2 linked regions of the Callithrix jacchus genome follow. The protein of the gene in region 2 purifies or fractionates together with the protein of the main gene of each other region. This does not show direct contact. Links are inferred from orthologs where the notes say so. Each region holds a gene or a part of one and is shown on either strand. Other genes may lie near its edges. The genes, in order: ARHGAP26 and PKN3.

Evidence for each region.
Region 1: the proteins of PKN3 (region 2) and ARHGAP26 purify together in Homo sapiens (affinity purification with mass spectrometry; 3 studies listed by BioGRID and IntAct, with this or other methods). This does not show direct contact. The link is inferred for Callithrix jacchus from reciprocal best matches to the Homo sapiens genes PKN3 and ARHGAP26.

The regions. Positions count from the first base shown.
Region 1 is NC_133503.1:41,210,847-41,215,379, reverse strand, and holds the start of ARHGAP26 (rho GTPase-activating protein 26), read right to left. Parts: upstream 3,052-4,533; 5' UTR 2,664-3,051; coding exon 2,510-2,663; intron 1-2,509. UniProt on the Homo sapiens protein: GTPase-activating protein for RHOA and CDC42. Facilitates mitochondrial quality control by promoting Parkin-mediated recruitment of autophagosomes to damaged mitochondria.
Region 2 is NC_133502.1:177,319,426-177,323,065, reverse strand, and holds the end of PKN3 (serine/threonine-protein kinase N3), read right to left. Parts: intron 2,727-3,640; coding exon 2,664-2,726; intron 2,513-2,663; coding exon 2,436-2,512; intron 2,000-2,435; coding exon 1,857-1,999; intron 1,776-1,856; coding exon 1,668-1,775; intron 1,483-1,667; coding exon 1,402-1,482; intron 1,295-1,401; coding exon of another isoform or gene 1,292-1,294; coding exon 1,079-1,291; 3' UTR 759-1,078; downstream 1-758. Other genes in the region: palmitoyltransferase ZDHHC12, read left to right, coding at 1-35, 181-502.

The sequences.
Region 1 (4,533 bases), on a different chromosome or scaffold from region 2:
GTAACAATGATCTACCCGAACTTTGGCAATCCCTAGAGGAGAGTTTTATTGCCTATGATTAACACTTGAAAGCAAGTTAATCCAAAGAGCTGCAAATACTAGTTATGAAATAACTGTAAAATAAAATAAATACGGCTATAAAAGTTTAGAGCTATAAGAGAATATAGATTATCTAAACCCAACGTTATTTGTATAATTATGTATTTATGCTTAAGTTGTACTGGCAAAAAACTTCTGTTTATAGACATAAAAAACATGACTGAAGAAAATAATACACAAACATTAATATAGTATACAATGTAGCAAGCATCTCATGATATCGGAATGCCTGAAATCTGCAGATACAATGGTTGACTCCACCCTCTATATTAAGAGGTCATGTGACCTGATCAAGAAGTAGTAGTGGTAGAATAAAGTAGTAGAGCTGGATATAGAGAACAGAACACCTAGTTCCCCATCAGTCTTTTCTCCAGGTTACAAGGCTGATCCATTCCATTAGACAGCTTAAATAACCCTTCACTCTATCGCTGCAATGTTTCTTCCTATCAAAGAATTCTTGACCCCCCCAAAATACTAATAGGCTGCCAGTCACCCAAATGCACCCTCCTCAAATTCAAGGCCAAAATAGAAAATACAAGTCCAAATTCTATAACTTGGCCCACAAGGTTCCATTCTAGGCAAGTGAGATGGGGCAGAAGTAAAAGCTCTGTATTGGCAGGGATTCCATCTCTGGCTCAAACCAGGTGGGTTCAAAAGCTCTAGCTCTGCTGTTGAAGCTTTGTGACTCAGAGGTAGTGCTCCCCCCAGCCCCTGTTTTCTCATTTGCAAAATGAATATAAGCACATGAGATAATTATAGGTGAAGCAGTGCCTGGCATGAAGTACACCTCCGTAAGCATAGGAGCAGCAAAATATTCATTCCTACATCCTTAGTGTCCAGTGCAGTGCCCAGCACACCACAGGCACACCAAACGTTTGCTGAGTGAAGCAGTGAACCCACTAAATCCAGCCTGAGATTCAATCAAAATTCCTGGGCCCAACCTGTAAGTGAGCCCCTAACTTACTCCAAACCAGGGACCCAAGTCCCCTAAACCAAGGATGGCCTTGATCATTGACAAAGGAAGAGTCTGTTCATATGCTTGAAGTAAGGCACAGCCTGAGAATCTGCCTCTAAGAAGCCTCATACATCACAGTCTGTGTTCGTTTCATCCCAAAAGATTGGCACTTTGGGCTGCCCTGGCATTCCATTGTCTCTCTCTTCATTTTTATAAGCAACAAGCTGACAAAATAACATTTCAGGCACCTGACTTTAGTAAACGCCCTTTAAAAAGGCCTGGGAACAATTCTCACAGCTAGGACTCTACTCTGCTAAGGCAACCTTTCTTAGCTGAAAGGTATCACCTACTAAGAAATCCATCATAGAAACAGATAAAGTAAGAGAGTCAGAGACAATTCCACTATCTGCCTTCATGTGGTTCCTAATTCCCAAAACTAAAAGATGGACTGAGCTATTTTTAAATGAGGAGACTGAAAAGGCACCAAAAACGTTCTCACAATCCAAAGCACTCATCCCTAGAGCACGCTTATTTGGCCAGAAAAAGAAACTCTCTGGCTCTGCAAAAGTGAAGCAGAATGCAAAATTGCATCTCTCCCCTTGTACCAAAAGGGAAAAACACAAAAATGGCTTCACAAAAGGTCCAATAATCTTTGAAATAAGTTTTTTCTGAGGACTATGGGCATTCCTTCTCACACCTTTACGTTTTCAAGGATAACGGGAAAGGTAAAAAGGAGAGCTTGGGAGCAGGCGAGGGAGAGAGTTGGGATATGTTCACTCTATTTTTAAATCCTCGCCCACAGTTTAGAGTAAAGGAACACTCTGCTTCTCTACTCCCACCCCTATCACCTTCTGCTAAACACAAGAATCAGAACCTGCACACGTACTGATTCTAGATTTAGAGATTACTGGCTGCCAATACTCCAGGGATCGCAAGCTAACCAAGCATTCCACCCAGGGAACCTGGTGGCCGGACTAGGCTGGAGCTGCGTGCAGAGAGTGAAGCAGTCACAACCCGCCTTTTCCCAAGGGGAGGCAGCGCCCCCTCGGCAGGCACGCTCCGTATTCACGGCTGGGCACCCAGGGCTGAGCAATTCTGCCCCTAAGGGAGCTGGAGCTGAGGACGCGATGAGATCTGCCCGCAGGCTGCGGCGCGCTGGGCACTCTGGCCCCACTCCTGGGACACCTGCGTGCCGCACACGCCCACGACCACCCGTGCTCGGTCACCTCCCGGCCAACCCCGAACGCAAAAGGCGTAGCGACGGGTCTCTTTCTTCATCTGATGGTTGGTGGTCCGCCTGCTTTCCGTATCCTTCCTGCCTCGGAGGCGTCGACACCCGTCCCCCAGTGTACCGGGGGCAGAACCCCTGAGGACGCTCGAGCGACCCGGGTTAAGCGCCACCTCCCCGTCCCTCCCGCCCCGGGGCCGCGTCCCCGCGGGGCTCGGGACACTCACTCTTGAGCGCGCTGATGAGTGACTTCCCGTCCTTAATGAGCTCCTTGATGAATTTGTTGGTCTTGTCCAGCTCTGCTTCGTGGGACTTGAGCGTCTCTCGGAAGTGCGGGCTATCGAGGCAGCAGTCGCTGAACTCCAGCGCTGGGAGCCCCATGGTGCCCGCGGCGCCCAGCCGGAGGGCGCGCCTCCTCCGGGGTCCCGGCCTCCCGCCGCCCAAAGCACGCACGCGGCGGGACCCCGGCCGGCTCCCCCGACTGCCGCCGGCTCCACAGGTGTGGCGCCGGCTCGCCCCCAACGCGGTGTAGCCGGCTAGCACAACTCCCGAACCCACCCGGGACCCGGACGAGGGGCGGCTGCTCCGGGAGCGCGCGATGGAACGGCTCGCGAGCAGGAAATGCAGCGCGGACCCGCAGCGGCGCCGGGAAGCGAGCGAGCGAGCGGGCGAGCGAGTGCAGACGCCGCCTCCCCGACTCCTTCGCTAGCTACCTCTCGGCAGCCTCGAGCGCCCTCTCACAGAAGCCTCGGCCGCCCCGCCGGCGTCTGGGCCACTCGAACCTGCTAGCGATGACTTAATCCCCGCCGGGCCAATCAGCGCGCCCTCCCTTGCCCGACCCTCTTGGCCACCCCAGGACGCCCGGCCCTTCCGCGGCTTGATCCAATCAAAGGGGCCTGGAGGCAGGGTCTGCGGCTGGGGGCGTGGCTCTCGCCAACGCCTAGGTCCGCAGCGCAAGCTCCGCCTCCTCTCGCCCTCCGGGCGCTGCACACCCTGAAACCTCAGGGTGAGCGCTGCAGTGCACGCCCCCCACCCACCTTGCCCGCCTGCTCCGGCCCGAATCCGAGCCGCAGATGGCGAGTCTGCTGGTCCTGGGGGCCGAGGAGCTTGGATGTGCCAAGCATGAAAAAATCTGGGAATTAGGGCTGCAGTTCACCACCGCCTGCCCTGCACTGCTGGGCAACCGATTTTACCCTCAAAATACAGTCCCCTGTCCCGGGAGAATCCCAAGCGACCAAACCCTCCTCTTTCAGTCAGGCAGAAAAATGTTACTTGCATCTTAAAATTACCAGCTCTAGCAGCTCTTCTTGCCTGCAGTCTTTCCACCCACTATGGTCCGTCCCCCTCACCGCCACTCCTGCTCAGAACCCGCCCACGGCCCCCCCGCCCCCCACCCGGCCGAAGGAGCTCACAGCCATCCTTACGAGAATTTCAGCCGCCTGTTATTTTCCTGCCCTGCATCTAGCACAATTTTACATAATTCTGTCCACTGCTTACACGGTAAGCGCCACGAGGGCAAGTGCCACTTCAATTTTCTTGTCCGCTGTTGCATCCCGGCACCTAGCACAGTGGCTGGCATTTAATAACAGATATTGAGCGCTTACTATGTGCTATGTGTGCTACGGTGATTGGTAAGTGTTTGTGGAATAAATGAATGGATCCTTCCCCAGAGCCATCTCCACCTCCCATGCCCAGTGCATTGCCCTGTAATCCCTCTGTTCGACTGCAGGACTCAGTTCTGGCATCTCACTCGTTGCACTTGTCAGACTGCGTCCCACAGAGTGTCTAGTGCTAAATTGTGAACTCCTGGAGGATAGCGACTGTCCTTGAATAAATTATTTCTATGTCTAGGAACTAGCAGCCATTTCAGCTACGTGGGGGTTTCGTATTTGTTTGGGTTGGTTTGTTTTTTAACTAGGTCTGATATGTGCAGGCACTAACCTAAATGGTAAGGACACAAAGAGGAGTAACAGAATGAATTTAGCTGCTGGTGGTCAGTAGGAGAGATGGAAGCAAACAAGGAATAACCATGCCTTGTGATAGGATAGAAGGCCTGGATGCTTGGAAACATGGATTTTTCACTCAGGAGGGGTCAGAGGTATCCCATCTATATTAAGAAAGTAACTGATTTATTAAATTCATAAATGGAGCACGGTGGCTCACACCTGTAATCCATTGCTTTTGGAGGTCAGGCGAGAGGATTGCTTGGAGTCAGGAGTTCAAGACCAGCTTGGACAACATAGTGACACCC
Region 2 (3,640 bases):
CTGCTGGTGCTTCTGTGGGGCCTCTATCTGGCATGGTAGGTGCTGCCCGGGGTGTGGGGAGAGGGTGGGATGCATGCTTCCAAAGGGGTGGACAGAGCCAGGGCTCCCAGGGACCCTGCACAGGGAGGGAAGAGCTCCCCAGCCCTCCCCAACAGCAGGCCCCTGTTCCCGGCACCGCAGGTCAGGCCTCCGGTTCTTCCAGCCCTGGGGGCTGTGGCTTCGGTCCAGCGGGCTCCTGTTTGCCACCTTCCTGCTGCTGTCCCTCTTCTCATTGGTGGCCAGCCTGCTCCTTGCCTCGCACCTCTACCTGGTGGCCAGCAACACCACCACCTGGGAGTTCATGTCCTCACACCGCATCACCTATCTCCGCCAGCGCCCCGACAACCCCTTCGACCAGGGCCTGACCCGCAACCTGGCCCACTTCTTCTGCGGATGGCCCTCGGGATCCTGGGAGACCCTCTGGGCTGAGGAGGAGGAGGAGGGCAGCAGCCCAGCTGTTTAGGGTCGCTGGAGGCCGGGCTGCCGTCTAGTGCCTGAAAACCACAGGGCCTGTTCCCAGCTGGTGTCAGCCCTCGGAGGGCCTGGGGCCCTCTTCCTGCCCACTCCTCAGGCCCCAGAATGGAGCTTCAAGACAGACAGATCCCTGCCTCAGTGGGCGGTTCTGCCTTCCAAGGAAGAAGGGGAAGACCTGTGGGCAGCTCAGGCCCAAACGGACCTCAGGCTCCACCCCAGCCCAACCCAGCCCAGGCTGCCGCCAGTGTACATGTATGAATTTAATAATCTATAAAGCAAGTTAAATCCTAAAAAGACAAATCGTATCACTCCTCACTGTGGTACCCTTTCTGGGCCAGGTCTCACTGGGAGGTAAAGGAGGACAAGCTGGAGGGGGAGGGAACACACTTTGCCCAGGGACACTGAGCAAAGCCCACGACAGCAGACCCATGGCTGCCACCTTGAGTCCCAAGGCTCATAAATGCCAAGCAAGTCCTGGGCCTCCAGGCAGGGCCTCCAGACAGGTGGGTGAGCAGAGGCTCTAACAGTCTGTGGGGGTAGGAGGCAGAGGTGCCACGAGACGCCCTCAGGGCTCCAGGAATTGCTCTGACACAAAATCGAAGTCCCGGAAGGCAGCCTGTTGGCGGGCAGTGAGGGGGCTGTGGGGTGCAGGTGGGGTCAGGGCAGGCGGCAGCCCTGTGAATTCATCCTCAAAGTAGCGCAGGTCCGCAGGGCCACAGAGGGTGGGCACAAAAGGGGGCTGGACGGTGCGGGCAAGCAGGGCCTGCCAGTTGGTGGTCTGGAGGAAAAGGAGAGGTGCCTGAGATGGCGGGAATGTCAACCCCAGGAGTCACTCCATGCCACCCACCCTGCCAGGCACAGGGGACCACTGCCACCCCAGCCGCTCACCCTGAAGAATGGCTGGACCTTGATCTCCTCAGCATCCTGCTCCCCCGCCCCGAGGCGCTTCTCCGGGCACTTCTGGAGGAGCTGGGCAATAGGATAGGCGCTCACTTAGGGCATTCAGCCCCAGGCACCGCCACCATCCACAGGCCCCAAGCGCGCTGGCCCAGAGGGCTCCAAGGATGGGTGTCAGGGGGTCTGCTGTCCCATGGAAGAGGGCACACGGGCCTTGAGTGGCCATCCAGCCCAGTCCCAGCCCCTGCAGTACTTACCTTCTGAATGAGCTCAAGCCCTTGCACTGACAGAAAGCCGGGGTAGGGGGCATCGGTGTTCACGATGCAATCAAACACCTCCTCCTCAGTGTCTCCTGGGAACGGGCACTGTGGAGATGGGGCTCAGCAGGATGCACGGGGCCCCTCCACCCCAACCCAGAGGCCCAGGCAGCACACTCCAGCACTCACCTCGCCCACCAGCATCTCGTAGAGCAGCACGCCCAGCCCCCACCAGTCCACAGCCCGAGTATACGCCTCCTGTGTCAGGACCTCGGGAGCCAGAAACTCCGGGGTGCCACAGAAGGTGCTAGTCCGGTCCCCAAAGCCAATCCCTGCAAACCAACACACACACCAATAGCTGCTTGCTGTGGCCTATTCACAAAAACCTCAACGGCCAAGCCTTATGATGCAGGAAGCTGAGCCTATGCCAAGCCCTGCCCTGTACCCAAGGAAGTGGGAATGTTTACGCCGCCATTCAACTGCAGGCTCACAGGCTAAGGTCACAGGAGGCAGAACTCAGGCTCCTCTCCCAGCCCTAACCACAGGCTTTCCCTCAGGCCAAAGGCAGGCCGGGGATCTCTACGAACTTCTAGGGCTGGGAAGAAAGGGACAGCGTGCCCAGCTGTCCCATGGAATGAGGTCTGGGGTGGGGGAACCAGGGCATCTGTGGATGGGGAGATTTCCTGGGAGATGCCATGTGCCCATAATCCTGTTGGCCAGGCTTGGTAGACGAGACTGGAGATGTGGATCCCAATGGGCGGCCCCCACCTTCCTTGCAGAGTCCAAAGTCTGCGATCTTCAGAAATCCCTGAGCATCCAGCAGAAGATTATCCAACTTCAGATCCCTGAGGGCAAGGGTGCAGGTCAAAGGGGATGGGCAGGGCTTAGACCCAGGGAACAGCAACTGCTCCTGGAGCAGCCCAGACAGGAGGGAGGTGGTATCTTAGTTCTCATCCACCCCACCGCCACCCCCAGGCATCCCTGGACAAAAGTCACCTGTAAATGATCTTCTTCTCATGTAAGAACTGCAGCCCCAGGACAACACAAGCCAGGTAGAAGCTGCAGGGGTGGTTATGAAAGAACTCAGGACGGAGGCAGGGCAGGGAGGCACCAGGATGTCCCAGCCAGAGTCAGAGGTGAGTGAGACTGGGACAAGCATCATGCTCAGGTTGGGGGTGCTCCAACAGTCCCAAGGTCACCCCAAGGTTGCTGTGCACTCCCACCCCACCCTTCCTGGGCTGAGGGCCAAGTGTGCACACAGCGCCCTGCAGTTGATTTTTATAATCATGCCTACTTTTCTTTTCTTTTTTTTTTTTGTTCTGTTACCAGCCTGGAGGGCAGTGGTATGATCTCAGCTCACTGCAACCTCCGCCTCCCAGGTTGAAGCGATTCTCCTGCCTCAGCCTCCCGAGTAGCTAGAAATACAAGTGCCCACCACCATGCCCAGCTAATTTTTTTTTTTTTGTATTTTTAGTAGAGATGTGGTTTCACCGTGTTAGCCAGGATGGTCTCAATCTCTTGACTTCATGCTCTGTCCACCTCCGCCTCCCAAAGTGCTGGAATTACAGGCATGAGCCACCGCACCCAGCCTTGTTTTTTTTTTTTTTTTTTTTGAAACGGAGTCTCACTCTGTCACCCAGGCTGTGCAGTGGCAGGATCTTGGCTCACTGCAACCTCTGCCTCCTAGGTTTAAGCGATTCTCCTGCCTCAGCCTCCCAAGTAGCTGGGACTACAGGCATGCACCACCATGCCTGGATAATTTTTATATTTTTAGTAGAGACACAGTTTCGCCATGTTGGCCAGGATGGTCATGAACTCCTGACCTCAGGTGATCTGCCTGCATCAGCCTCCCTAAGTGCTGGGATTTCAGGTACCTGGCCAATCATGCCTATTTTTCTTTTTTTGGTGGGGACACAGTTTCACTCTTGTTGCCCAGGCTGGAGTGCAATGGCCTGGTCTTGGCTCATTGCAAC